4 linked regions of the Neurospora crassa OR74A genome follow. The protein of the gene in region 3 purifies or fractionates together with the protein of the main gene of each other region. This does not show direct contact. Links are inferred from orthologs where the notes say so. Each region holds a gene or a part of one and is shown on either strand. Other genes may lie near its edges. The genes, in order: NCU06854, NCU01843, act and hat-4.

Evidence for each region.
Region 1: the proteins of act (region 3) and NCU06854 purify together in Saccharomyces cerevisiae (affinity purification with mass spectrometry; 4 studies listed by BioGRID). This does not show direct contact. The link is inferred for Neurospora crassa OR74A from reciprocal best matches to the Saccharomyces cerevisiae genes ACT1 and RVB2.
Region 2: the proteins of act (region 3) and NCU01843 purify together in Saccharomyces cerevisiae (affinity purification with western blotting; 3 studies listed by BioGRID, with this or other methods). This does not show direct contact. The link is inferred for Neurospora crassa OR74A from reciprocal best matches to the Saccharomyces cerevisiae genes ACT1 and CCT3.
Region 4: the proteins of act (region 3) and hat-4 purify together in Saccharomyces cerevisiae (affinity purification with mass spectrometry; 10 studies listed by BioGRID, with this or other methods). This does not show direct contact. The link is inferred for Neurospora crassa OR74A from reciprocal best matches to the Saccharomyces cerevisiae genes ACT1 and ESA1.

What each region holds. Positions count from the first base shown.
Region 1 is NC_026502.1:1,744,053-1,751,754, reverse strand, and holds NCU06854 (RuvB-like helicase 2), read left to right. Parts: upstream 1-2,940; 5' UTR 2,941-3,169; coding exon 3,170-3,178; intron 3,179-3,254; coding exon 3,255-3,481; intron 3,482-3,556; coding exon 3,557-4,766; 3' UTR 4,767-5,154; downstream 5,155-7,702. Other genes in the region: NCU06853 (hypothetical protein), read right to left, coding at 1-1,167, 1,233-1,575; NCU06855 (hypothetical protein), read right to left, coding at 5,155-6,657; NCU06856 (ubiquitin fusion degradation protein), read left to right, coding at 7,421-7,423, 7,513-7,702. UniProt on the Saccharomyces cerevisiae protein: DNA helicase which participates in several chromatin remodeling complexes, including the SWR1 and the INO80 complexes.
Region 2 is NC_026502.1:2,189,314-2,196,787, forward strand, and holds NCU01843 (T-complex protein 1 subunit gamma), read right to left. Parts: upstream 4,739-7,474; 5' UTR 4,504-4,738; coding exon 4,479-4,503; intron 4,357-4,478; coding exon 4,290-4,356; intron 4,196-4,289; coding exon 3,987-4,195; intron 3,922-3,986; coding exon 3,331-3,921; intron 3,257-3,330; coding exon 2,619-3,256; intron 2,615-2,618; exon of another isoform or gene 2,536-2,614; coding exon 2,443-2,535; 3' UTR 2,139-2,442; coding exon of another isoform or gene 1,416-2,138; 3' UTR 979-1,415; downstream 1-978. Other genes in the region: NCU01844 (hypothetical protein), read left to right, coding at 1,416-2,138; NCU01842 (hypothetical protein), read right to left, coding at 5,171-6,995, 7,057-7,474. UniProt on the Saccharomyces cerevisiae protein: Molecular chaperone; assists the folding of proteins upon ATP hydrolysis. Known to play a role, in vitro, in the folding of actin and tubulin. In yeast may play a role in mitotic spindle formation.
Region 3 is NC_026505.1:5,085,417-5,089,569, reverse strand, and holds act (actin, variant), read right to left. Parts: upstream 2,801-4,153; 5' UTR 2,465-2,800; coding exon 2,458-2,464; intron 2,318-2,457; coding exon 2,287-2,317; intron 2,141-2,286; coding exon 2,085-2,140; intron 1,967-2,084; coding exon 1,936-1,966; intron 1,858-1,935; coding exon 1,086-1,857; intron 1,022-1,085; coding exon 791-1,021; 3' UTR 790-790; exon of another isoform or gene 721-789; 3' UTR 323-720; downstream 1-322. Other genes in the region: NCU04174 (hypothetical protein), read left to right, coding at 1-48. UniProt on the Saccharomyces cerevisiae protein: Actins are highly conserved proteins that are involved in various types of cell motility and are ubiquitously expressed in all eukaryotic cells.
Region 4 is NC_026504.1:5,715,469-5,723,069, reverse strand, and holds hat-4 (histone acetyltransferase esa-1), read left to right. Parts: upstream 1-3,071; 5' UTR 3,072-3,214; coding exon 3,215-3,294; intron 3,295-3,370; coding exon 3,371-4,811; 3' UTR 4,812-5,424; downstream 5,425-7,601. Other genes in the region: NCU05216 (methoxy mycolic acid synthase 1), read left to right, coding at 1-507, 556-811, 863-973; NCU05217 (RNA exonuclease 4), read right to left, coding at 1,370-2,590; NCU11146 (aminotransferase), read left to right, coding at 5,769-6,545, 6,837-7,601. UniProt on the Saccharomyces cerevisiae protein: Catalytic component of the NuA4 histone acetyltransferase (HAT), a multiprotein complex involved in epigenetic transcriptional activation of selected genes principally by acetylation of nucleosomal histones H4, H3, H2B, H2A and H2A variant H2A.Z.

The sequences.
Region 1 (7,702 bases), on a different chromosome or scaffold from region 3:
TCTCTTTCATCCCCAGGTCTGTAACTTGTTTGGTAAGCCCCAAGATATCCAGAGGGGCCTTGGTCTCCAGATCTGTAACGCGGTCTTTGAGCGCCGGGAATTGGAATGACACAATCTCGGCTGCTTCATCCAGCGCTACAAAATCGACGTTCTCTAGCTTCTCCTCCTGTTTTGCCATCTTTTGCTCAAACTCGGCAACTTGAGCTCGGACCTGGTTAAGTTCTTGTTCTCTGGTTCCCAGCTGGTAGCGCAGGTCGGCGAGCTCCTGTCGTAGAGACGCTACCTCGCTAGCAGAGCTTTGCTTGGAATTATCTTGTGCCGTGGCGCGTTGTTGCTCAAGCTGCTGCTCGAGTTGTTTCTCGTACTTCTTTTGTTGCTTGGCTAGCTGTGTCTTGAGTTCTTGCTCTTGGGTTTCCTTAAAGTTTCTTAAGTCTGACTGCATCTTGTTGATCCGTTCTTCCAGTTTGGTGCTCTGTTTCGGAAGGTCTTTACTCTGCTTTGCAAATTTCTGTTCAAAATCTTGTCGCTGCTTAGCCAGCTCTGTTTGGAGTTGCTTTGAAAAGTCTTCTTGCTGCTTCGCGAGTTTGTTTTGATACTCTCGTTGCTGTTTGCCAAATTTGTCCTCGAGGTCCTTGAATCGGGATTCCATGTTTTGTTGGTCCAGAAGTCGTTTAGATTCGAGACCGTCGTAAACAACTTGCAGCGCGTCAATCCTGGTTTGTGTGAAGGACTTATGATCTGATAAAGCTTGCTCCAGTTCAGCGATCTTGTCGTCGTACTCCTTCGAGCTAGCAGAAGCTGGAGGCAATAACGCAGCTGGCAGCTGACCAGACTTCATCAGCTGCAGTAAGCAGGAGAGGAAACCCTCTCTTGCCCTTTTGATACCATCTTCAGCAACACGCACCATATTGGAATACTCCGCACGTCGCTTGGTGTCGCGATCCAGATACTTCTTTTGAAGTTCCGGTACTGAAGGGAAGTCTGCCAGCTTAGCCGTGCATTTTGTGTACTCGGCTTGCCGCTTTTCGAGTGCATCTTCAGCCTGAGTGAGGTTATATTTGTGCGTAGTATAACTGATAAGAGAGTCGCACAGTGCCCTCAGACATTTTCCCATCTCTGCGTCTGATGTACTCCTGGAATTGCTCGTAGGAGATGAGGCAGTGGCCGCTGCAATAGAGATTAGCACTCGTTTGATCTCTTGATTTGATCCGGGATAGCTATTGATAGCTTACGCGTGTTCAATCCATGGTCAGGTCGAGCACGGTCGCCGGCTGATGCGGTTTGTGTGTTGACTGTCAGGCCTCTTGCAGGTGCATCAGACAAGCCGCGGTCCCGGTCGCGATCCCGATCTCGATCCCTATCCCTATCCCGGTCCCGATCCCGGTGTTGACTATCACTCCAACTGTTTGGTGGCCTGTTGGGTAGAGAACTTGCATGACTGGAACTGGGCCTCCGTTCATCTCTGTAAACATTACGAGGCTGGCTATCGCGACGCGGATGGGGGTCTGCCGATGGTCGGCGGTCGCTTAGAGTGGAAGGCCGCCTCGGGTACGAGTCCGGCGGCCTGGAAGACATGGTGCGTGACACCAGGCGGACGGATGGGGGTGTGCAGTGAGACGAGACGCTGCAATCAAGCGTGCGCCTAACAGACAATATGTGGCGAGGTATAAGACGAGAGTGTAATTGTGACAATGGTGGGGCTGACCTGTGCCAGCGGTACAGACCGACGTCAGTCAATGTCGGAATTGAGCCTGAAATGTGTGTCGATGTTCAATATTGTAGGTTGAAGATTGTAATGCGATACCGATGCGGGTAGACGCGTAGATAGAGTCAAAGTTTTAAGAGGCCCCGCACCTCCTCCAGACGGGAATGAGATCAGACTAGGGCTTGCCGCACAAAGATACAACAAGCTGATGTATTTTTCTGTTCCTTGTCTAAATGGACAGTCGAACTAATAGTTCTGAATGCATTCCGGAACGCCAGGTTTACAATCGTCGAAGATGTCCTAGGGAGAAGAGAGAGGGGAAAAAAAAAAAGAGGAAAGTGTCTGCCATTTGGGTGGGGAAATTGGTTTAAATATTTCTGGGGAACTACTATGAATGAGCCCAAGGTAGCAGAGTTGCAGATTTGCAGCTCTTCCACTCCCAGGTCACAAAACTTCTCCTGTACACTCAAGGAAGGCGCTACGGACCCTTGTCATTCTGTCCCTTCAATGGCCAGTCATAGTATGTAGGTATGACTGGCCGAACGTCACATTTATCTTATTGATATCTTCAAGTTGTATTACTATTTCCTTCAGCTCTTTCATTCTCGCTCCAATCAAACATCCACTGCATTGGTACCCTATGTCCCTCTACACTTAGCCTGGGTTGAGGAGGATGACAGCATGCCTCACATATAGTCTCCTGACCCAAGAATCCCCTGAGGGCCGCTTCTAGCTTCAGGTCCCAGTGAGTAGCGTACCTACCTACACTACTTACTTGCGTCCATGTTTATTTTGCATGTTTGCATCTTCTTCCCTTTTGCATCCGAGTCACGAACCCCTGCCAACACTGTTGCCTTTTCAAAGAACTTCCATCTGTATATAAACAGGTCGTCCGACTTGCTTAGTTCTCTTTCCAAATTGACTGCTGGACAAAGAGGCTTTGTGTTGTGATGATCAGCTCAATCAATCGAATTCCGATGTGGGTCTAAAATCCGGGGCCTTGTGGGACCCCCAGGGCCGCGCCCGGGAAGGTTCAGTCCCACCCGCCGGCACAAGTCCGAGGACTGTCTTCAGTTCCTTCAAGTCTCCGCCCTTCTCTGTCACCGTTTGGATCCTCAGCCACAGTGGCGTGTAAGTCGACGTATTGTTACGTAAACTCGGTAACAAACCACTCGCTGGAGGCCCCGGCCTGTCTACCCATGCACGCAATTGGAGAAGTCGCTGCAAAGTTCCATCACAGCGCGCGGCGACGCGCACTGCAGCTTTGAACTTCCGTCGTCGTACTTCTCGCTCTTTTTCAAGCACATTCCATCATTCACTGCCAAACCATCCCTGCATCCACCTGCAAACTAATCCATCACCACCCACCCACCGTGATACCCAAATCCAAGCGACCTTTCTTGGAAAATTCTGTAACGTCAATCGGCATATTCAATATTAATATCTTGCAAATCAGTGGGCAATATGGCTGCTGTAAGCTCCCCACCTACCCCCCAACATCACAATACCTTGACGGAACACCAGCTGACCTCTTGTGCCCATGCCATAGCAGGTCGTTACCGTCGGAGAGAGTAAGGACCTCCGGGGTCTCAACCTCATCGCAGCGCACTCGCACATCCGCGGGTTGGGCGTCGATGCCGATACACTCGAGCCCAGGGTTGCCTCCCAAGGCCTTGTCGGCCAGGAGAAGGCGCGTAAGGCGGCTGCTGTCGTTCTTGAGATGATTAAGCAAGGGAAAATTGCCGGCCGTGCTGTGCTGATCGCCGGTCCGCCCAGGTTAGCTCGTCTTGCTGTGCCAGTCCTCATGCGCATACCGTTTCGTGTACTGACCTAGCTATGGAAAAACAACAGTACGGGAAAGACTGCTCTGGCCATGGGTATGGCCCAGTCCCTCGGCACCGACGTCCCTTTCACCACCCTTGCCGCTTCCGAAATCTACTCTCTAGAGATGTCCAAGACCGAGGCCCTCACCCAAGCATTCCGCAAGTCGATTGGTGTCAGGATCAAGGAAGAGAGTGAGATCATGGAGGGTGAGGTGGTGGAGATTCAGATCGACCGGAGCGTTACCGGCCACGCCAAGCAGGGCAAGCTTACGATCAAGACGACCGACATGGAAGCTATTTACGACATGGGCAGCAAGATGATCGATGCTATGACCAAGGAGCGCGTCATGGCCGGCGACATTATCTCGATAGACAAGTCATCTGGAAAGATTACCAAGCTGGGCCGATCGTACGCAAGGTCGCGCGACTACGATGCCATGGGCGTCGACACCAAGTTCCTGCAATGCCCCGATGGCGAGCTACAGAAGCGCAAGGAGGTCGTCCACACAGTAACGCTGCACGAGATCGACGTCATCAACTCGAGGACCCAAGGCTTCCTCGCCCTCTTCTCGGGCGACACGGGCGAGATCCGCAGCGAGATCCGCGACCAGATCAACACCAAGGTGGCCGAGTGGAAGGAAGAAGGCAAGGCCGAGATTGTGCCCGGTGTTCTGTTCATCGACGAGGTGCACATGCTCGACATCGAGTGCTTCTCGTACATCAACCGCGCACTCGAGTCCGACCTGGCCCCCATCGTCATCATGGCCAGCAACCGGGGCCACTCCAAGATCCGCGGCACCGACTACAAGAGCCCCCACGGCCTGCCGCTCGACTTCCTCGACCGCATTTCCATCATCAACACGCACTCGTACACGCCCGACGAGCTCAGACAGATTCTCACGATTCGCGCTCAGGAGGAGGAAGTCGACCTTACCCCCGACGCGCTCGCCCTGCTCACCAAGATCGGCGCCGAGGCCGGCCTCCGGTATGCGAGCAACCTCATCACGACGTCGCAGCTAATCTGCGCCAAGAGGAAGGCCAAGCAGGTCGGCGTTGAGGACGTCCAGCGCAGCTTCAAGCTGTTCTACGATCCTGCCAGGAGCGTCAAGTTCGTGCAGGAATCGGAGAAGAGGCTCATCGGCAGTGATGGCGTGGTCGATTTCCGTGTCAATGGCGGTGCTACGGGAGAGCCAGCGGCTACTGCGGCTGGTGGTGATAGCATGGATACCAGCAGCTAAACAGTCATGGGACAATGCGCTACAAGGATTAATGAATAATCTTGGGGTTATGATTTTGTTTCGTCTAGGCGTTTAATTGGGATGGCTCATCAAAAAGGCGTCTTTGTTATGATAACACTGTTTTCTTAAGCTTTATGTGTGCCTAGTCGTGGTTTTTTGTCATGTTACTGATTATGGTGATGGCATGGAGTCTGCAAATATCCGTTTGTATCATACAACGAATCGAATCAAAGTCGAAGCGTGGGGTAGCAGGAAAGGGCATAGTAGGGACGAATGACGACCAGCTGCTGAGGAGTTCCCAGCATGGTGATAAGGCTTTTGATTCTCTCGTCGCTTGGAACCGGGGGTATACTATCACACACAATCGTACAAAACCTAACCATGATGATCATACGAAGGCTGCAACCCTAGACCACTCCCCCTCCCCTCCGCCCACCGGCCTGAACTCAACCGCCTCCTTGAAGTATCCCGCATCCTGCCATGCCTTCATGGTGGGCCCGTCATACGGCCCTTGGCTTCCTCCTCCGTCTCTCCCATCTGTCCACCTAAACTCCCACATTTTGGGTTGTCCGTTTAGTGACGATGGCTGCTCTTCCTCCTTTTCAGGAACAGTAGGCTCCACCCAGGTCTCGCCCGTCTCTGCTCTATACTCTCTCACCAACCACTCCCTCTCCTTATCGTAAATATCCGGATAATCCCTTCCCAACAACTTATCCGCCGCCTCAGTAATGGCATCAATCGCCTCCCTGATCTTTTTCTGCTTCGGATCCTCCACTTCCTCCTTCTTGTCATCCACGTCCATCGAATCGATGCCCTGTTTCCTTTCCTGCCTCTTTTGCTTCCACTTGGGCACCTTCTTGGGCCCCTTGGTTTGATCTTTTCCAAGTCTTGCCAGCGCCTCCAGCGCCGTCTCCCCTTTTTCGAGCGTCAGGATCAAGTTTCTAAGCAAGTCCCCAGTGGCGATCTTGTCATCTTCCCTCTCCTGCGCGCGCCTTTCCGCCTCGCGCTTCTCGTGCGCCAACGCCGCTTTTTTGATTTCCTTTTTGGACAAGCCTTCCAGCCACTTATCGTGCACGGCATTTTGGTCGGCCGCTTTGCGGATGTAGTTGCCCGCCTCGTCAAAGGCACCCTCTTCATTCTCGGCTTGCATGTTGAAGGCGTCAATCTTGGGCGCATGTTTCTTCAGTCCGCCTAGGCCGACCTCTTCGTCTACTCCCTCTTCGGCGATGGCGGCTGCTATGGCTTCTTCGTCGTCGTCGTCTTCGTCTTCGTCGTCCGATTCGGCTGAGGCGGCGGGGTTGATGTTGATGGTTCCGCCAGCTTTGGAAGAGAGGTCTTGCCCTTCGATTTCCGAGTCGGCGAGGAAGTGGACGGATTTTTTGTCCTTCGCAGAGCCACCACCGGCTGTCGTTGGTTGAGCACCGTCGTCGTCTTCCAAATCGCCAAACATGTCTACCTCGTCATCTTCATCGGCATCTTTCCCTGCCCCGTTGGAAGGCTTGTTGTAATTATCCATCATCTCGGCCAGATCCACGTCCTCGGCGTCTTTGCCCTTCTTGCGGCTCTTCCCTCGGGCTTCCGCGCGGTCTTCCAGGTTGTCATTGTCGGAATCGGAATCGTACCCATCGATGTTGACCGCGCCGCGCTTGGTGGCTCGGGAAAGCCCACCGATCACGTCGGCGGCAAGAACCTCCTCGTCAGCTTCGTCGAGGTCGTCATCGTGCGCTGAGGGCGCGAGCGCGGAGGGGTTGCGCACGTCGAACTTGACTTTTTTGTGGGACGGCCCGCTGGAGGTGTCGTCGTCGTCGTTGGAGCGCGATTCGCCGTGGTGGGCGCGGGCGTAAGCTTCGCTGGCGCGTTTGGGGCGCGCGGCGGAGAAGCGGGAGGACATGGTGGTGGCTGTTGTCTTCAATCTCGTGTGTTGGTGTGTAGGCGTTGACGTCAGCGTGTAAAGGTTATGTCGTCTTGATAGAATGGCCTATTCTGCCCCTGTATCGCAGACTTTGTGTAGATATGGCCTGAAATGATGACTGTTTTGCCTGGGTCGACGGCGAATGACAACTCTACAAGTAGAGGATGGTGTTTAAGAGAGGATCTAGATGGCGAATTGGGAATATCAAGGAAGAACATCACTAGAGGTACCTTACCCGTTGTCAGCCCCAACGGATAACATGGAGCTCTCCACTGCCATCAAGGTCCAGAGCGTTCTGCAGTGGACAGGCAGCGCTCAAGGTACCTTTGACCTAAGCGTTTAAGAAGGGGGGGAGCTCGCGCCACGGCAGCACGGTTTCACAGATCTGACGCCACGGCGGCACCTTCTCACCCCGCCAATCCGGGCCGCCGAGGCGGCAGATACATAGAGGTAGGTACTGTACGGTACCCATGCCAGGGCTCCAATTATTACCTAACGTGCCTGTAACTTTCGGGCCCAGTTATGTCATCTGCGTTGTTGCCTTTGGAACCTTCCACGCGGTCAGGTTATTTCAACATCGTCGCAACCTCCCTTTCACTATCGCTTGTCACGCTCTGCTGTTCCGGATCCCACTACCTATTCTGCGAAGCTTACCTCGAGATCTCCCCTCTTAATACAAATTCCCTGTCGTTTCCCTTTCTGCAAAATACTTTACTCCATCTCTAGCAGCTCCCTCGCGATCATGGTAAGCTATCCTTGTCCTCACGCTCGATTATCAAGACAGCTTTTCGACCCCTCTATCTCTTGAAACATTCTAACATGTGCCCATGACAGTATGGAGACATCTACAGTCGCGCCACTGGTCGCTCTCGGGGCGCGCAACGCTTCGATGAGTACTACCGCTGCTACCCCCTTGTCATGGCGCCCGGTGCCGAACGACCTGAACTCAACTACGGCTCCAAGATTCTGCTCCCGCCCTCCGCTCTCGACAAGGTTTCGCGACTACACGTCCAATGGCCCATCA
Region 2 (7,474 bases), on a different chromosome or scaffold from region 3:
TTAATTCTTGTTTGAGTCTGCTTGGTTGGCGTGTTACACCTCCCGGTCCAGTATGTTTGTGCTATGCAGAGGGCAAGACTAACATGAATACGCACCTCTCCGCTTTCGGTAAGGTACACAGCCGCACTTTGAGTTTTTCTAGCTATTGAATGGCTGCGTATTGGGATGATGGACACTGCACACTGTGATCGCTGGTGGTGGAGGAGGGGCTAGAGAGGCTGGCTGGGCGGCCCCCAGGATGTGCTGAACTGTGATTGGTTCCGACAAGAGCAGGGAGTCATACATTATCAATCTCTTGCATGCCAGTGGCCTTTCCCGCCTTTTCCCAGACGTGCCAGAGTCCTTCGCGCCCCATTTCTGGCCCGACTGGATGCGCGGGGTTCTCCGTCTTTCTGACGCTTCAGCCAATCAGAACTGTTAACACTCAACAGAGGTTAGGTTCTTTCCCAATTGGATTCGCATGTCACCGCAACTTTGCAGCGTCTTTGACAGAGCCGGCGCCAACAGCAGCGAACCGGACTCGTTCCTGGCGGCTTCTTCCCGTGTTATGTACTGCAGTATGTAACCGTACATTACCGATGACCAGACATGGCCATCTTTGGCTAACAAACGGGCTGGATGGATGAATTCCAAGATGGCCTTGTAAAAAGGCACACCACAATCGACGTGGGAACATACGATATCCATGACATCGTGACAATCATGTTATAACCACGTGTAGAAGACATATGATTCAATTTCCCCAAGCTTGGCTACTAGCTCTCCGTCTGTTCCATGACCATTCCGTGACACCAAACCACATTAGACCAAGCCATATCATTTGACGCATGTGGTTTTGATCGCGTGACTTTGCAGACATCGGGATTCCTGGAGCTTGTAGCTGTCAAGGTGGGACTCTAATCGAGACAGCATCTTGAAATCATCAAAGGTCAAACGGCCACTGAACAGCCACGCGCACAGACCACCAATATCAGCCCTGTAGCCTTGTCCAACGGGTCCAGCTCCCCCATCAGCTGCAGCTGAGCTCAGCGTCGCATTTGGTCGATCTGGAATGAACCAAACCCCATCGCTGCGATCGACCAGTCCGTTGTCGCGACTTCATTCTCCGGCCGAAATTCAACTCCAGTTTCACATCTCCGCCTCGACGCCCTCCAGCATTTGCAACAGCAAACTTTAGTGATCCCACCGTCATCACCAAATCAGCGCTTAATCGCACCACAAAAGAGAGCAACAAACTCAACGGCGTGCGCGCGCCTCGCTCCTCAGAACGTCACGAACCAGAACAACCCGCCGCGTCTCAACCTAGGCAACACCCGACAGCCACCACCACCACCACCATCATCACAACCGCAGCCGCAGCCGCAGCCGCCACCGCAGACCACTGTCAACAGAAAACACAAAACAAAGGCGCAAAAATGTCAGCCGACGACCCCTCCTCGATCCCAACCTCCACCTCCCGCCTCTCCTCCCGCCCCACCAAGCGTCTCCGCGCCTCCTCTCCCACCTCCCTTCAAGCCTCCCACCTACAACAACTCTTCGCCAAACCCGACCGAGAAATCATCATCCCACCGCTCCCCTCCTCCACCACTTCTGGCTCCTCTCGACTACCTCCCCCTCCGGAAATCGTCACCAACGTTCAGGGTTCTTCCGCCGGTGCGGGATCGGGCGAGTTTCATGTATATAAAGCTGCCCGGAGGAGGGAGTACGAACGGCTGAGGATCATGGATGAGGAGGTTGCGAAGGAGAAGGAGAGAGAGGAGTTTGAAGCCAAGAAGAGGGAGAGGGAGAGGGCGGATGAGGAAAAGACAAGGAGGAATCGGGAGAAGAGGGACAAGAAGAAGAATAAAGGGAAGGGGGGCAAAGGTGGAGGTGGAGGTGGAGGTGGAAATGGTAGTGCAAGTCAAGGAGGGAGTGTGACGACAGCAAACGGGGCTGAGAAGAAAGAGACTGCAAAGACTGGGGACGAGGGAGGCGCAAAGGAGCGTGCAGCCGGAGCTGGAGCCACTAGCAACGACACCGCTGGGGAGAGTACCGCAAAGGAAGCGGACAAGTCTACTTCGGCCACGGCGGCGGCTGCTCCTGGGGCCGTAGTACCCGGAAATGCGGAGTCTGGGCTACTTATCGTTGAAGACGACTAAAGGGGGATGTTGACAGTATTGATTTTACCCAAGCGAGTAGAGCAACCATCAGCGACGGGGGAAAGCATAGACAGCATCACGCTCGGGGTTACGGAACAAGGATTAGACCTCTCGACCAGGCCTTTCAGAACCCCTTTTATCTACCATGCCAAGGTCCATCTAGCATATACATAAAGGGGTGCTCATGCAATGGGTGCTATGCGTGGACCACCAAAGAATCATTAACGGGATATCATACCACCTTTTGCCGGACTGACTATAACTCAGTAGACCCTGGGCTACCCACCCGCACCGTTCATAACATTTACTCATCACCGCCGCCAGAGCTGACACCGACACCTGGCTGTGCCTTTCTGGCACTGCAGATATCGTCAACTCTCAATAGGAGGCAGGCAGCCTGTTTGTATAGATGGTTAGTAGACAGTTAGAGAGCATCGAAACTGAACGTCAAGAAAAAAGACAAAAAAAGTCCAAACATACCTCGATAGCAGTCTTCATGCTCTGCACCTTGATGGCCTCGGGCTCCCAGACTCCGTAATCCTTCATATCCACAATGGCACCAGTATCGCCGTTGATACCCCACGAATTCTTGCCCTCGGCATGCTTCGCGCGGAGATCGGTGAGCACACGGACGGGGCTCTTGCCGGCGTTCTGGACAAGTGTACGGGGAATGACCTCGAGGGCCTCGGCGACGGCCTTGTACGGCCATTGTTGGACACCCTCGATGCTCTTCGCGAGCTGTGTTAACCTGACGGACACGGCCATCTCGGTCGCACCACCACCGGGCGATAGCCTGGGGTGGAACATGACGTTGCGCGCCACGCCCATGGCATCTTGCAGGTTGCGCTCGATCTCGTTGAGAACGTCCTTGGAGGGACCGCGGAGAAGGACGGTGCAGGCCTTGGGGTCCTTGCACTTTGTGAGGAAGGTGAAGTACTCGTCGCCAATCTTCTCGACCTCAAACAGGCCGCAGTTAGTGCCAACGTCGGATTCCTGGAGATCCTCTACTCGGTTGACGATAGTAGCGCCGGTCGCCCTGGCAATTCTGTTGTTGTCGGTCTTGCGCACACGTCTGAGCGCGGTAACGTTGGCCTTCATGAGATAGTGTTGTGCGAGATCTGTGAGTGAAATCATCGTTAGCTTTCCTGCCACCGACGTGATACGCGCTTCCCATTTATGGAGTCGAACTCACCAGAGACACCCTTCTCTGTGATAACAAGGTCGGGGTTAAAGGCAAGGATATGCTCGCACATCTGCTTGACCTGCTCCTCCTCAATCTCCAGAATGCGGTTCCAGTCCTCCTCCTTTGTGATCTCAATGTTGGTCTGCGACTCGCCCTTCTTGTACTCGAGCGGGCAGTCGAGCAGGATGATGCGCGGGTTCTCGATCCTGCGGCGCATCTTGGGGTGTGTGATGTCCTTGTTGAGCATAACGCCATCCAATACCCTGCTGTCCTCAATCTCGCCGCCCGGCACCTTCTCCACGCGCGCATACCTCTTGATGTCGACCTCCTTCTTGCCATTACCCTGCTCCCACGTCACGGTGCGCACGGCCTTGAGCGCTAGCCCGCACATGAGTTCCGACCATCGGGAAACGTACTTGGTGCCGATCGAGGACGAGATGAGCTTGTACATGGCCTGATCATCGTTGATGTCGATCGGGAGCGAGATGTCTTCGATGATCTGCAGGGCGTCCTTGAGGGCGCGCTTGAAGGCCGAGATGATGACGACGGGGTGGATGTTGCGCTCGAGCTGGGGGAGGGATTGCGCGAGGATCTCGCCGGCTGTTTGTGAATACCACCTGTCAGTGAACGGTATGCGGCGCAGCTGTAGCCAAAGATTTCCCTACCAAGAATGATGACTGTTGTGGTACCGTCACCAACTTCTTCGTCTTGTGTCCGGCTGAGCTCGATCATGCTCTTGGCTGCGGGGTGCGACACTTCGATCTCGCGGAGAATAGCATGGCCGTCGTTGGTGAGGACGATACCGCCCATGGGATCGAGAAGCATCTTGAGCATGGCCTTGGGGCCGAGGCAGGATCGGATGATATCAGCGACACTACGAGCCGAGGGGGGGCGGTCAGTCAAGGTCCATGGCGGGGTGAAAGGCGGTCTTATCCGCTATTAGGGGGGGAAGGGCCTGGGAACTGTACGTTTTGGCGGCGGCGATGTTGGACATCTGAGCCTTGCGGCCAGTCTGCCTCTCACCACTGTTGGTGTCTGTAAGGGTAGGAGGTAAGGTCAGTCAGTATGCTGCATGGTTACTGCCGGCTGACAAGTGAGGATATCCCCAATATCAGTGCGAAAAGGGGTAAGAGGTAGCTTCGAGCGCTGGAACATACTCATTACCAGGACCGGTGCCTGCATGGTGCCTGATTTATATGGGTTGCTTTAGTGGTGACTGAAAAGAAGAAAGCTGTACGGTAGGTATAGACTATGTCTTCAGATGGTGATGCTTCAGAATGCGCGGGGGGGAAGCAGGATGGTTGGCAAAAATCTGGAGAAGGAATGGCCGCCGTTGTTGTTTGCTGTTCTCCAGTTCAATGATCGGGCAGGCAGCTTCAGCGTCAACCTCAGGTAGGTCAAGGTGGGATGCTGGACCCCCTCCGAAAAGTTGATGGAATCGACCTGGACCAAGCTCCCTGCCGCTTTCGTCGCCAGTGGACGGCACCCCACCATGGACTGAAAGGTGGGGCAGAGGACTGCCGAACAGAACGGAAGAAACGTCCAGTGTCGTGGCATCCGCTGCCAGCTGTCAGCGCTAACGGTCGCGCAGCAACGCATTGTTGATGCTTGATCAGGGGGAATATTCTTATACAGGTCATAAAATACATTTGCGTCATGTCCTCTCCATGTTTGAGCTATCCAAACATGCTAGCTTGCTTGTTAAGTACAGTCATGGGGGGAGCTCTTGTCCAGTTCCACGTGTGATTCAGCTCCATATCCTGTAAACCACCAAACGCCTTACGCTGTGCCGTGTGAAACAACTATACAACAATTCCATCTCAGGCTCCCCAGCTCTGCCAAGGTCCATTCAAAGCATCATGCTTCTCCTCCTCGAGGCCCTCCCCTTGGACAAGGACCCGCCACTGTCATTGCCGACATCTTCCTCATCCTCTTCCTCCTGCGCTAACTCTTCAGCCCACAAGCTTTTCTTCGGCACCAGCATCGAAGCCCTTTTTCGGGAAGATCTTGGCTTTGCGGATGCTGTTGCTGTTGTCTCGGTCGAAGCAGCTGAGGACGCTCTTCTTGAACCTTTGGGTGCCTTCTTATTAACAGGAACATCGCCGGTAGTCGCTTCTAGCTGGGGTGCTGCGCTATCCGGAGACGCACAACTAGCAAAGTCGTAAAGATCCACCGAGGCTGAGTTCGTCGAGAGTTGTGCGTCCTCGTGCTCGTAATTTTCTGTTGGGATCGTGGGTACGGAACGGCTCATTGATTGCCTCCCCTTTCCACCCCTGGGCCGTGTTGTAATACTATTACTCAGCTCCTTCTGAATCTGAGCCTCGACCGCGGCGTTTTCATCGGTCTCGTCCGCGGCTGGGAGGTTTAGAGTTGATTGTTCTTGGACCGAAGGAATTGTCATTGCAGGGGCTGCAGTAGAGAAGGATGAGGCGCGTCTTCTCCTTCCCAGGTCTACTGAGCTTGGGAGGATGCCGTTTGGAGATAATATTCCTTCATCCGGCTGTGGTTCCTTCTCCTTCTCTTTTTCAAACAGCGCACTGCTGGTCAGACTACTTATATCCACCGCCGGCGATGGCTCGACCTTGACCTTGCTAACTGACGTCGGTGCTGACTCGTCGCCCTTGCGTTGCTGCTGTTGCTGTTGCGATGTCGGCCTGTGTAGGAACTTGCCCTCCCCAGAAACGGCATCAAAGAGCTCTTTGGTCGGTCGTCGCATCTTGTCGCGCAGATTGGGCTCTGTATAGCTGATAGCCGCTCTAGCACGCCTGCTAGGCCGCGACGTCTCTCCATTGGATGAAATGTGGGCTGGCGGCGGGGTATCGTGGGTCACAACAGTGCTTTCAGAGGCGCGCTCTGGTGTTCCAGGTGTGATCAGAATATCGGTTTCAGGAATCTCTGCAACTTCAGGAGTAGGTTCCAGAGCCGGCGGGAGGATCTCGACTTTCGTGAATGCCGACGTAGAATTTCCTTGCGTTTCTTCTACTGCTGACTTCTTGTCCGGAGCGGGCAGGTCGACTTTCTCTTTACCCTTTGACGCCTTGTGCACCTTCACCGGCTTAAAATCGTCGGCCACTTGGTGGGGCTTCGCCGGCTTCTTCGGAGAGACAATGTGCTCGTTCGTGCTCTTTGCTGACAGCGGGGCTCTCGGTTTCGTTGCGGTCTCTTTGATGCTTTTCCTCTTGTGCGGGTCGCGGGCAGAGAGTCCTTTCTTGATCCCAGTCTCATTGCCATTCTCCTTTCCTTGTTGAAGCTTGGTTGCCTTGTTGGGTTCGTTTTGGTTGTCGCCGTTCAACTTTCGCTTGAGGCCTGCTCGTATTGTCTCACTCGGTACAGCCGATGTGGACTGTTTCGGTGGTTCCATCGGAGGGGGACTGAACATTTTGGAGGGTTCTGCCACTCTCGATTCTTTGGGTGGGCTGAATAGGATCATGTTTGGTCTCCTGTCGTAGTCCAGTTTAGGCGGCGATAATGACGGCGGTACTTGAAGAGCCCTAGGGCTCTCTTCCACTTGCTCGGTAGTTTCCGTTTCTTCAGCCTCGGCGTTCTTGTTTGGCGATGGTGAACAAGGTATGACCATATCATCCTCGACAAACCTAGATACTGGCGGCGGTCCGATATCTGGCGAGTCATTCGAATCGTCTGCCTGCATGCACAGCGCCAGGATTTCTTCACTGCTGCTTGGCTGTCAGCCATATGCTTCAATGTATCATGCACCGGGAACTGCAAGCAACCTACTTCATTGTGGCTCGCGCATACGTCTTGTTCTCGTATATCGGCGGTAGCCTTCCTTCCTGCTCAGCCAGTAGTTCCTGGTCGGCCTCCTGGCGTGCTCTTCGTAAGGGAGGGCTCCGGTGAACGCTCGGTCGAGGCTGCGCGTATCGCCTCTCTTCTGAAAGGCGCCGCTTCGAGGGCGGCTCCCCTAAGCTTGCCAGCAGCGAACTGAGTTCCGCCAACTGCGTCTCCATCTTGGCCTTGACCTCGAGCGCATGATCGGCCACCCTTCGCGCAGCGTTGTCTTGGAGCTCCTTTTCGAGGCGCAAGACCTGACCACGGAGTTCGAGGTTTTCCGACAGCAAACGAGCGCATTCATTCTCCAACCCACGGATACGGAGTGACTGTGTGGAATTGACTCGAGCAATATCTCTGTTTTGTC
Region 3 (4,153 bases):
AAGGCTGAGAAGCGCGGAGGAAACAATGCGGATGGCGGTAGACACTAGACAGTAAGAATACCTACCCATTGTGTCAGCGAAAAGCCATCTGTGGTTTCTGCCACTGGTTTGCAATCCTGGCCATGTTTGATCATAAGGAAACGGCTGCTTGTTACTCGGTTCCTGAAGCGGTGAGGATCGCTTAGTTGGATTCGGTAGGTATGGCCGCCTCCCCTTCAAGTCAATAAGACATTACGGTGGATCCGATACCTTGACGGCTAGCAATTCCCCTTTTCTCCTTGGCTTGCACGTATCTCACGACCAACGAAAGGGCAGCTGAAGGTGCTCAGAAATACAGAACGCTGTTTGAATTTTGATGATCTCTTCATCCACGATAACCTCGAATTTCCCAGTGGTGACTAAATCTTGCTGCTAAAAGTGTAGTAAATAGAGAAAGGGTGTTGGCAAGATCAAGAAGCCCGCATACTTGACCGCGCCTATCCCACGCATTCGCAGCCGTCGCCGCCCACCCAGAAAACAGAAAAAAAAGGCCATTATTTATGTCTTCTAGTAGAGAAAAGAGACGCCAGCCCCCTTCTGACCACGCTCGCTACTTTTTGTATAAGAGAGACCTGTGCAGAATACACGCGCAATGCAGACATGCTACTTGACGCAGATAGGGGTGTTATGTCCCCAGTTGGCGCTGGCTCGTGACAGTCGTGGATTTGTCCATTTATTGAACTACATACATGGTGTAAGCCGACGACGCTCCGCTTCCAACTGCAACAACCACCTCTCAAGGGCACCCACTTTAGAAGCACTTGCGGTGCACGATCGAGGGACCGCTCTCGTCGTACTCCTGCTTGGAGATCCACATCTGCTGGAAGGTCGAGAGCGAGGCGAGAATGGAACCACCGATCCAGACGGAGTACTTGCGCTCGGGAGGAGCAATGATCTTGACCTTCATGGAAGAAGGAGCAAGAGCAGTGATCTCCTTCTGCATACGGTCGGAGAGACCAGGGTACATGGTGGTACCACCAGACTAGTGACGATTCTGTTAGCGGACCTAGCCTATACTGCCATCTCCACAGCGAACGGGGACTTACCATGACAATGTTGCCATAGAGATCCTTCCTGACGTCGACATCGCACTTCATGATGGAGTTGAAAGTGGTGACGTGGATGCCGCCAGATTCGAGACCAAGGACGGAAGGCTGGAAGAGAGCCTCAGGGGCACGGAAACGCTCGTTGCCGATGGTGATGACCTGACCGTCGGGAAGCTCGTAGGACTTCTCGAGAGAAGAGCTCTGGGCAGCGGTCTGAATCTCCTGCTCGAAGTCGAGAGCGACGTAGCAGAGCTTCTCCTTGATGTCACGAACGATTTCGCGCTCGGCGGTGGTGGAGAAGGTGTAACCACGCTCAGCGAGAATCTTCATGAGGTAGTCGGTAAGATCACGGCCAGCCATGTCAACACGGGCAATGGCGTGGGGAAGGGCGAAACCCTCGTAGATGGGGACGACGTGAGTGACACCGTCACCGGAGTCGAGGACGATACCGGTGGTACGACCGGAGGCGTAGAGAGAAAGGACGGCCTGGATGGAGACGTAGAAGGCGGGGGCGTTGAAAGTCTCGAAAACGATCTGTGTCATCTTCTCACGGTTGGACTTGGGGTTGATGGGAGCCTCGGTAAGAAGGACGGGGTGCTCCTCGGGGGCGACACGGAGCTCGTTGTAGAAGGTGTGATGCCAAATCTTCTCCATGTCGTCCCAGTTGGTAACGACACCGTGCTCGATGGGGTACCTGAGAGTAAGGATACCACGCTTGGACTGAGCCTCATCACCGACATACGAGTCCTTCTGGCCCATACCGATCATGATACTGGCATGTTGTCAGTTTTTTCTGAAAGTCTTGGAGTGTTGCGCGCACGGGACGCGGGGGGGAAAGTGGCATGCATACCCATGATGACGGGGACGACCGACGATGGAAGCTATCGCGACATGTTAGCATGGCTGGGACGTTGGGTCTTGGCGGGGAGGCAAGTAGCTCTGCTGACACGTTGCCCGTCTCAAGCAAGAGCACCTCGCGGGAATAGTGGGAACACTTACGGAAAACAGCTCTGGGGGCGTCATCACCGGCGAAACCGGCCTTGCACATACCCGAACTGGGCGGTTGTTAGCTACTGTCCATCGTCATTGTTCACCATGTAGAACGGGCTATGGGGGGGCCGCGAGGCGTCGATTGCGGGAGGAATATGACGCTTCTCCTAGGAGTCGGTGAGGCGCAGGCGAAAAGGAGGGGAAAGCTTACCCATTGTCGATGACGAGGGCGGCAACTTCTTCTGTTGGCGGGAACGCATGAATCAGCTTGTGCCCATGATAACCAGTAGAGGGAGATGGCGATGGTAGAAGTCCGATCCGCCGGCGACCAGCTCGCCAGCGCGGGCAGACTGGGCAGGAATGTGGACATGTTGTTACGTACCCTCCATTGTGATAGATTAGGTGGTGACGAAAAGTGTCGGATTAAGCAAAAGGTACAGAAGAAGAGTTATTAAATACGCTCGACGATTCCCGGATCGATGGAGCGATGATGCTTTGGCTGAGAGAGGTGTTGCCGAAGGACGTAGAGACGTTGTTTGGGCAAAAATTTGGATGTTGTTCGGTAGGCGGAAGAGTTGGAAAAGGGGAGGTGAATTTAAGGTCAGCTTTGGGAGTACGAGGCGGCGGGTGGATTGAGGGGGGTAAAGGTAGGGGAGGTAAGGGGATGGGATTGCTGTGGTGCCAGGTGCGAGGGAACGGATGGCGGACTGGGGGGGGGAGGGGAGGGGACGGTTGATTCCATTGGGGACGGGACTGGGCCGGGACTGTCTGCACTGGGCATTGCTGGCTGCTAGGTCCAGTTGGTTGGACTGGGCCTGGTCACCTCACGGCGTGGTTGTGGGACTTGGCGGCGGAGGAGGAGGAGGAGGAGGAAGGAAAGGCGGGCAAGGACGACACCGATGTCACTGAGTGGTACTGACAGTGAGTGCCCGGCCGACTTCCAGGTCCCAACAAGCATTCATTTCATCCTCGCCGGGCTGCTGCGCTGCCTGCACTCCATGTTGCCCGGTTCACGACGGGATGGATCACCACAGTAGACTACAAGTACAAACCTAGAGGTAACTGCGCTGCCTTCTTCCCAGGCCGTCCCCTCTCCCTCGCTGTTCGCTTTCCACACCCCTACTCTAAATCATCAAATCACTGGCCGCACCGCCCCCTTGCCCTCTGGCATCTTCGTGGACAAGTTGTCAAGTCGCAGTATCATGCCTGATTCGAGGTGGCTCAAGGTGGATTCCTGAGTGGCCTGCGATCCGTCTGGAAAGTGGGTAGGAGACACCGCCTAATTTTGGGAGGGCAAAGGGGATCTTCCTGCCGCCAACACACTTTGGGAGGCTTCCGCACCTCGGAGGCGACGTCTAGGTTGACATCAATGCCCGTCTGGCAACTGGCAGCCCGTTCAAGATCCCCTTTGATTTCAGTCTACCTAACTACATTGGATACCTACACGACCTGACTTGTATACTATGTAAAAGGATATCATATCGCAGCACGGCCGGGGTCGTCACCGCTGCGTGCCGTTCGACGGGTGCAGCTAGACAGACGGTTCAGTTGTACGTAGCGTAGGTAGTACCTAGTGAGCACGGTGGGAGCGTGGTGCGTGGCTGGGTCCGCCCCCGACGTTGTGTCAGCGTTCAGTCTTCTTCAACCTAATGTCCCTCCCCTGCGTCGTTGCCGTCGTACCTGGTCGCTGTCCCTTGTCGTACCCCGTTCATTACTTGTTTATTACTCCTCCTGGAGAACCGCGATTGCAATTCCAGAAGATCCAATGTCTTCTTTACCGTCTCTTCTGTTGGAGCCTGGCTGATCACGATCTCTTGGAGCTTGTCCGGATCGCAATTCCCATGGCCCCGGGGCCCGAGTGTCTTGAAGGCTCCATGGCCGCCCCGGTCCGGGATCCGACGGAGATAGATATGTAGCCTACGGTATGCACCACTTGGGTCCATACGGTACGGGGACCTCCAGCAGCGGTGTCATTTCCAAGGAAACGCCATCTCATTGGGGATGAGAACGAGGTATTGCCACAGTCCAACACCACCACCACAACCACCACCACCCACTTATTGGCGTCTGCTTCATCC
Region 4 (7,601 bases), on a different chromosome or scaffold from region 3:
TCTGTCGCCAGATATGATGTATTCGTGTCCCATCTGGAACCACACGACTAACAGTCGCACCAAACAGGAGGAGAGTCTGGAAAGTGCTCAGATGAGAAAGATCAACTATTTCATTGAAGCAGCCAAAATCAAGCGAACCGACCATGTCCTGGAATTTGGGACCGGCTGGGGCACCATGGCTATTGAAGCCGTGCGCCAGACAGGCTGCCGCGTCACGACTATAACCCTGTCACAGGAGCAAAAGACCTTCGCGGAGAGGAGGATCTGGGCAGCGGGGTTTTCGGACAAGATTGCTGTGCATCTGTTGGACTACCGAATGCTGCCTGACCCGGAGGTCCCCTACGACAAGATCATATCTTGCGAAATGATCGAGGCCGTGGGCGAAAAGTTTCTGGCCACGTTTTTCTCGCGCGTTGACAGGCTGCTGAAGAAAGACGGAGGGATTGCCGTGTTCCAGTGCATCACCATGCCGGAGGGACGACACAAAGGCTATTCGAAGCGTGAAGAGTAAGTCGTCGGTCCCTTGTGGGGTGTATCATTAGCTAACGTCTGTAGCTTCATTAACCACTACATATTCCCTGGAGGATACCTCCCATCTGTCACGCAGTTGATCAACCACATCACGACCGAGTCCAACGGAACGCTCATTGTCGAAAAGATCAAGAACATCGGTCCACATTATGTCAAGGCGCTGAGGCTGTGGAGGGAGGCCTTTATGAACAGGTTTGACAGCGTGATCGTGCCGGCCTTAATGGTGGAGCATCCTAGCTTGACGGAGACAGACGTTGAAGTGTTTAAGCGGAAGTGGGAGGTGAGTTATTCTTCCGGTGATTGGAGTTGACGAAGCTGACACATGGTCCAGTACTACTTTTCGTATAGTGAGGCCGGTTTCCTGACCAAGACGTTGGGCGATGTGATTATCACAGTTGGCAGGGAGGGTGCGCTTGAGCTGATGGAGGGTATTCCCTTGTGATCATTACTGAGGAACGCAGTGAAGATGATTTTGCCTCCAGTTTCGTGTGCAGCAAAGCATTATGGTGATCATGGCCAGTAAGGAAAGGGCGGATGTTGGTGATTGTTAGAGATGGTTTCGGGCAGCAACATATAGACCGCGGCATGGCATCTTGTGAGTTTTAGGCGTCCGTTTGCTAGTTTCACTCGGATTGTATGCGAAGCAAGAAAACGACGATCGATGTCAAGGACAAGATAGATTTGGCTTTCTGCTGTTTGATCAGTTGCTGATGAGAAGAGCTGAAGAAAGCAGGAATGGGTATACCTACACAAGAAAATCTGGGGATGCAAACATGATATCCAGGTAAAGGCGGATAGGCACCTTAGACCTAATAGACTCCTCCCTCCTTCCATCTCTTCACTTCTTGCCCTTCTTCTTCTTTCCTCCTCCACCACCACCACCATTACCTCCTTTCTTCGCCTGCCCCTCCTCATACCGATTACTATTCTCCATATCAAACCCATGCTTCTCCTTCCTAAACAACAGCATGGCTACCCTCGCATCCTCCACACTACTATGCTGTCCCTGATGAATCTCGATGCCCAAAACCTCCTTGGCCAACACCCTTAAACTCGGCTTCGGCCCATGTCCATACTTTCGAAACCCACTGTACTTGGCCGTATCCCTAATATCCCGATGCGGATGCTCAAACCCCAACACCTCCAAATCATGCTTGACATCATGACCCACCAATATCCGACCTTTCAAAAGGGCAGCCACAGTTGCTTGTACGGACTCGAACGATCGTGCGGACGCCATGTGGCGCTTGGAAATGCCTGATACATGCGTGCGCCAGTCGGTCACGAAAGCAGTGGGGCGAACGTACGAGTCGTAAATTTGGTGTCCGTGGAAGTCGACGATGGAGCATCGAGCGAGGACACTGGTGGCGCCCGAGGGACCGGTGCCGACCATTTCGCAGTCGATGGAGAGGTATTTGCCGAGCGTGTTGGACTTGGTTGCTTGCAGGATTAGTGCGAGGTCGGTGGTGGTGGAAGTGTCGAGTGTGAGACCGTTGGAGAGGGTGAGGGATGAGGGAAGGTCGGTTGGTAAGGGGAGGCCATTTTTGTTGCTTTTAGGGGAAGAAGAAGAATGGCCGGGGAGGGTGAGGCCTGCGTTGGGGATGGCGGGGGGGAGGGTGGAGAGGAGAGGGATGTGTGAAGAAGAAGAGGAAGAAGAGGTGCCGCGGAGGCCAAGGTTGTACGCTTCGGCGAGGGATTCAGAGGAGATGCCTTGTTCGTCGGCCCAGAGGTGGAGGGAGGGGAGGGTGCTGTTTGGGGAGGAGGAGGTGGTGGGCTTGGATTGGACGTTGCCGCCCATTTTTTCTTCTGTTGGTTTTTGGCTGCTGGGTTGAGACTGGGTTTGGGACTTTTGTCTTTTTGGCTTCTTGGAAGGGTTGGAGGCTTGTTGCTGTTGTTGACTCTCCTCGGCCTTGCGCTTGAGGGTTTCGGAGGAAATGGACTTTTTGGAAATGGCTTGCTTGAAAGCGGCTTCTTGGCTGATGGGAGCTGATTTGGTTGGTTGAGGGGCCTTGAGCTTTTCTTGCAACTTCTTCCAGTTGGAGGAGAGTTCCGGGGCCATGGTTGGTGACAGGAGGGTCTCCTGCCTTGGTGATTTTGATGGTGGTGGTGGTGATGGAGTGTTGAGTCAAGACAGACAAGTGAGGGTGTCACTGCCGATGAGGGATCACTTGTGGTATGTCCAATCACAAATTGGCGGCCGAGGTTATGTGGAGTCCAATTGGTGCTGAATTCTTATTTGGAATGAGAGAAAGTAAACAAAAGGTTGAGACAAACGGAAGATTTCCAGAAGGTGATAACTTTTTTGTATGAACGTGAAAGTGGATGTTGAATATGGGCCCCACTTTGGTGTTCACTTAAAAATTCAACTGGGGAAATCGGTTCCTGGACGATTGACAGGGTAGGCAAGCCATGCAGGGATCTGCCGCTGTGTCCCATTGCATCCCCGCTGAAATGACGGCCCAAACACGTGGGCTCGCCACTGAAGGACCCCTCCAAAACGTTCGGGAAGCGTCCACTGAAAGAGTCGCTGAACACTACAAAACACTTCAAGACTGACGTCGCGCGTCGCCCGTCAGATTGATCGCATTCAATCGCCCATCGTCCACAACCATCAAATCTTGTCGCAAACCATCGCAAGTTATCGACCGAATCATATACAGTTGGATCACACATAGCCGCCATCATGAGTCCCCCAGGTGGCGATGCCACTGTCGGCTCCGACGAGAAGCGACAGAAGGGCAAGGCGACGCCCGACACCATCAAGTATGTTTCCGTCCCATCATTGTCCACGGCACCCCCCATCGTCGTTGAAAAACCAGATACTAACACCACCAAACAGAATGGGATGTATTGCCATGGTGATGAAAGAAGGCCAATTACGACGAGCAGAGATCCTCAGTATCAAAGACACCAAGTCCGGCCGGCAATTCTACTGCAACTTTGACAACTTCAACAAGCGTCTCGACGAATGGGTGCCGGCCGCCAGAATCGATTTCGAGCAGGACGTCGAGTGGCCCAACCCGGACAAGGACAAGCAGAAGGACGCCAAGACCAAGAAAAACAACTCGACGGTATCCAAGAAGCAACCGTCCAAGAAGAACAACCAGAAAAAGGCCAGCAAGAGGGAGCAGTCAGTCGCATCGGACGGGCAGACACCACACCCATGGACCGAGTTTGTCGAAAGCCAGCCAGGGAAGAATAACAGGCAACGGGGGAAGACGGAAGATGGAACCGACGTCAACGCCAGTTTGGAGGTTGGTGGGGACAAGGGAGTCAAGAGGAAAGCCGACGAGATCGATATGGATGAGGACGAAATACCAGCCGCTAAGAAACAACGCCAGCCGTCTTTTTCCAGGGAACAAGAGATTGAAAAGTTGCGAACATCCGGCTCCATGACACAGAACCCTACCGAGATCTCGCGCATTCGGAATATCTCCAAGGTGGAATTCGGCCGCTACGTCCTCTTCCCGTGGTATTTCTCGCCCTACCCGCAGATCTTTGACCAAGAAGACTGCATCTACATCTGCGAGTTCTGTCTCTCGTACTACGGCGAGTTGAAATCCTTTGTGCGTCACCGACAAAAGTGCACTCTACACCACCCGCCCGGAAACGAAATCTACCGGGACGACTACGTCTCCTTTTTCGAAATCGACGGGCGACGTCAGCGCACCTGGTGTCGCAACCTCTGCTTGCTGTCCAAGATGTTTCTCGACCACAAAACCCTTTACTACGATGTCGACCCGTTTTTGTTCTACGTCATGACCACCCGCGACGACCGGGGGTGCCACATCATCGGGTACTTCTCCAAAGAAAAAGAGTCTACGGACGGCTACAACGTCGCCTGTATCTTGACCCTTCCGCAGTACCAACGCAAGGGATACGGTCGCCTGCTCATCCAATTCTCGTACGAACTGTCCAAAATCGAAGGCAAGCTCGGCTCGCCCGAGAAGCCCCTGTCCGATCTGGGTCTGCTGTCATATAGACAGTATTGGTCCGAGAACATCATCGATATCTTGCTCGGGTACAACGAGCGAAAGGAAGCTTGCACGATTGAGAACATTGCTGTTGCCCTGGCCATGACGACACAGGATGTGGAACATACGTTGCAGGCGCTCAAGATGCAGGTGTACCACAAGGGCGAGCACAAGATTGTGGTACCGGAGAAGCTGATCAAGCAGAGGGAGAAGAGCAAAGCGAAGCAAAAGAGGCTGATTGATCCCGAGAGGATCCAGTGGAAGCCACCGGTGTTCACGGCGCTTAATCGGACATGGGGGTGGTAGTTGCTCTCGCTCAGCAAATATTGAATGATACACCAAGACGACACACTCGTGACACCACCACACGGATTCATGACCCAATTAAAAGAAAACGAAACCATCAGCATTACGCCAACAAAAGAAGATCAATTCCTGAATCGATCAGATACTGGAAACCTTGCAGTAGTGTATGCAAACAGAATGGTCATTAACATGGCCGCAAAGTGCACTTGACCTTTGTTGGATTTTTACAATGGTTTCGTTGATTTATTGGGTCATGGATACAATAGGTGGTATGTCGTCTTGGTGGATCATTCAATATTTGGGGAGCGAGCGCTCTTACTGCTGGGATGTCTGTGTTATTCTCGTTGTAATAGTCATGAGAACAAGATTGCATGGGTAGCAAGCGGGTTGGTTAGTATGATATGGCGTTGGTTTTTGTTTTGGACGGGCACTTGGGGAAATGGCTTACAGGAGGGGGGGAAAAAGGAACACCATATGTATCACTATTACGGCCAAAAGCACCAGAATGGTTTGTCATTTCTTTACGAGTGATTAGGAATATAATTACCAGGATAGAGAAGCAGAGCCTAGTCATAATCTCTACTCATGATCAGCGAAAAAGCCTGTTTGCTACAGCACAAAATCTTGACGAAAGTTTAGCTCAAGATTCCCGACTTTACTATTGAGAGCATGGCTGCTTTGGACGTCATCAAACGTGGGTGTATTCCCCGATCTTACAGACCGCTTTCGCAGATTTGAAGCTTGTGACTGGTTATACCGGCTAGTCGTCGGAGATCTCCCGGGCCGCATTCGGTAGTGAGACCTCCAGACGTCACCTCATCCATTGCTTGTGTTCCGTCAGCCCCGTCCAGCCCCACACCTCCGGCCGGCCGGCCCCGCAACCTAGATTCCCCGCAATACGACATCATTCACGACGGCGATCACGACGGACAAATGGGTTAGGCTGAGATAAACTGAATGGTTTCACCACGGCATTTGAGATTCACTCGCTGCCAGGTTAATAACAAAGCTATGGTCCCAAAACCACCACCAACCTTATCTAGGTTCCACTCATCTCACCAACAACTCAACATTCCAACGTCTTCATCACTCCAAGTTAACATCAACACATCAACAACATTAACAACAACCACCGCCAACATGTCCCCCTCAACACCCCCCGCCCTCTCCGACCCCGACGTCCCAACCCCTCTCTCCCAACCCGGCGAAAAGAAACAAATCAACCTCCTCCGCGGCTGGCCCTCCCCCCACCTCCTTCCCCCCTCCCACCTTCTCTCCGCCAGCACCTCGCTCCTCACCTCTCCTCCCGAAGACGAACCCTCATCCAAATTTTCTTTCAACATCCCCGCCCTCCAATACGGCGCCGACCCAGGCTACGAACCCCTTCGGCACTCCCTCGCAGCCTGGTTGACCCAAAACTATACCGCCCACGAGACTTATCCGTCCCATGGGTTTCCTACCCTGACGACGGCAGAGCAGATTTGTATCACGGGCGGAGCGAGTCAGAACTTGGCGAATATCCTGCAGGGATTTACGGATCCGGCGTATACGAGGGCTGTGTGGGCGGTTAGTCCGTGCTATTTTTTGGCGGTGCCGATTTTTGAGGATGCGGGGTTTGCGGTTGGGAATGGGAAGCTGAAGGGGGTGAGGGAGGATGAGGAGGGAGTGGATTTGGAGGAGCTGGAGAGGGGGATTTTGGATGTGGAGGGGGAGAAAGAATGGCCTGGGAAACCGGTGAGTTTTGTGTTCTGTTGTTTGGGTGTTCGGTGAAGAAAAAGGGGGGGGGGGGGGGGGGGGGGGGGGGGGAAGTGAGGAATGAGGATGCAAAGAAAGGAATATATGGAGTAGCGGGAAGGAAATCGAGAAAGGGGATAGAACCCCTCTTCTTGGATTTTATATCGCTACCCTCCTGTTCGTCCATGCTCACGACACTCACACCCAGTCCGACTTTCACTCCCACTTCCACTCCCACCTCTCTCATCACCACTTATACCCCCATTCAGAATCACAACTAACAGCCCCCAGGTCTACAAAACCCCCGGCCCCCACCGCAAATGCTACAAACACATCATCTACCTCGTCGCCACCTCCGCCAACCCCTCGGGCATCACCACCTCTCTCTCCCGCCGGCACGCACTCGTCCAACTAGCCCGCAAATACGACGCCCTGATCATCTCCGACGACGTCTACGACTTTCTCCAATGGCCCGTCCTCCCTTCTTCCTCTCCTTCCTCTCCCTCATCTTCCAAAACCACCATCTCCCTACCCACTCCCCTCCCCCGCCTCTCCGACATTGACATTTCCCTCGGCCCCTCCCTCCACGACCTCTCTCTCTCCGCACACTACACCCGTTCTTCTCCTTCCAGTATCCCCAACGAAGATCACCAAGTAGAAGACATGCAACCCCTCTTCCCCACCCGCACCATCGCATCCCTCCACTTCGGCCACGCCGTCTCCAACGGCTCTTTTTCTAAACTACTATCGCCCGGCCTCCGCACAGGCTGGACGCACTCCACGCCCGCCTTTGCTCACGGGCTCTCCCAGACGGGAAGCACGCGCTCAGGCGGCGCCCCTTCACAGTTTTGCGCGGCGCTCATTCACGAACTCATCCAGTCTGGCGCGTTAGATAGGCATTTAAGCGAGGTAGTCCGTCCGGGCTTGCAGAAGCGACATGCGTTGACGATGGATGCAATCAGGCGCGAATTAGTGGTGCCGTTGGGGGTGAGAGTGATTGAGGATAATCGGACTGGTGCCGAACGCAAGGAAAAGGAGGGGGAGGTGTATGGGGGG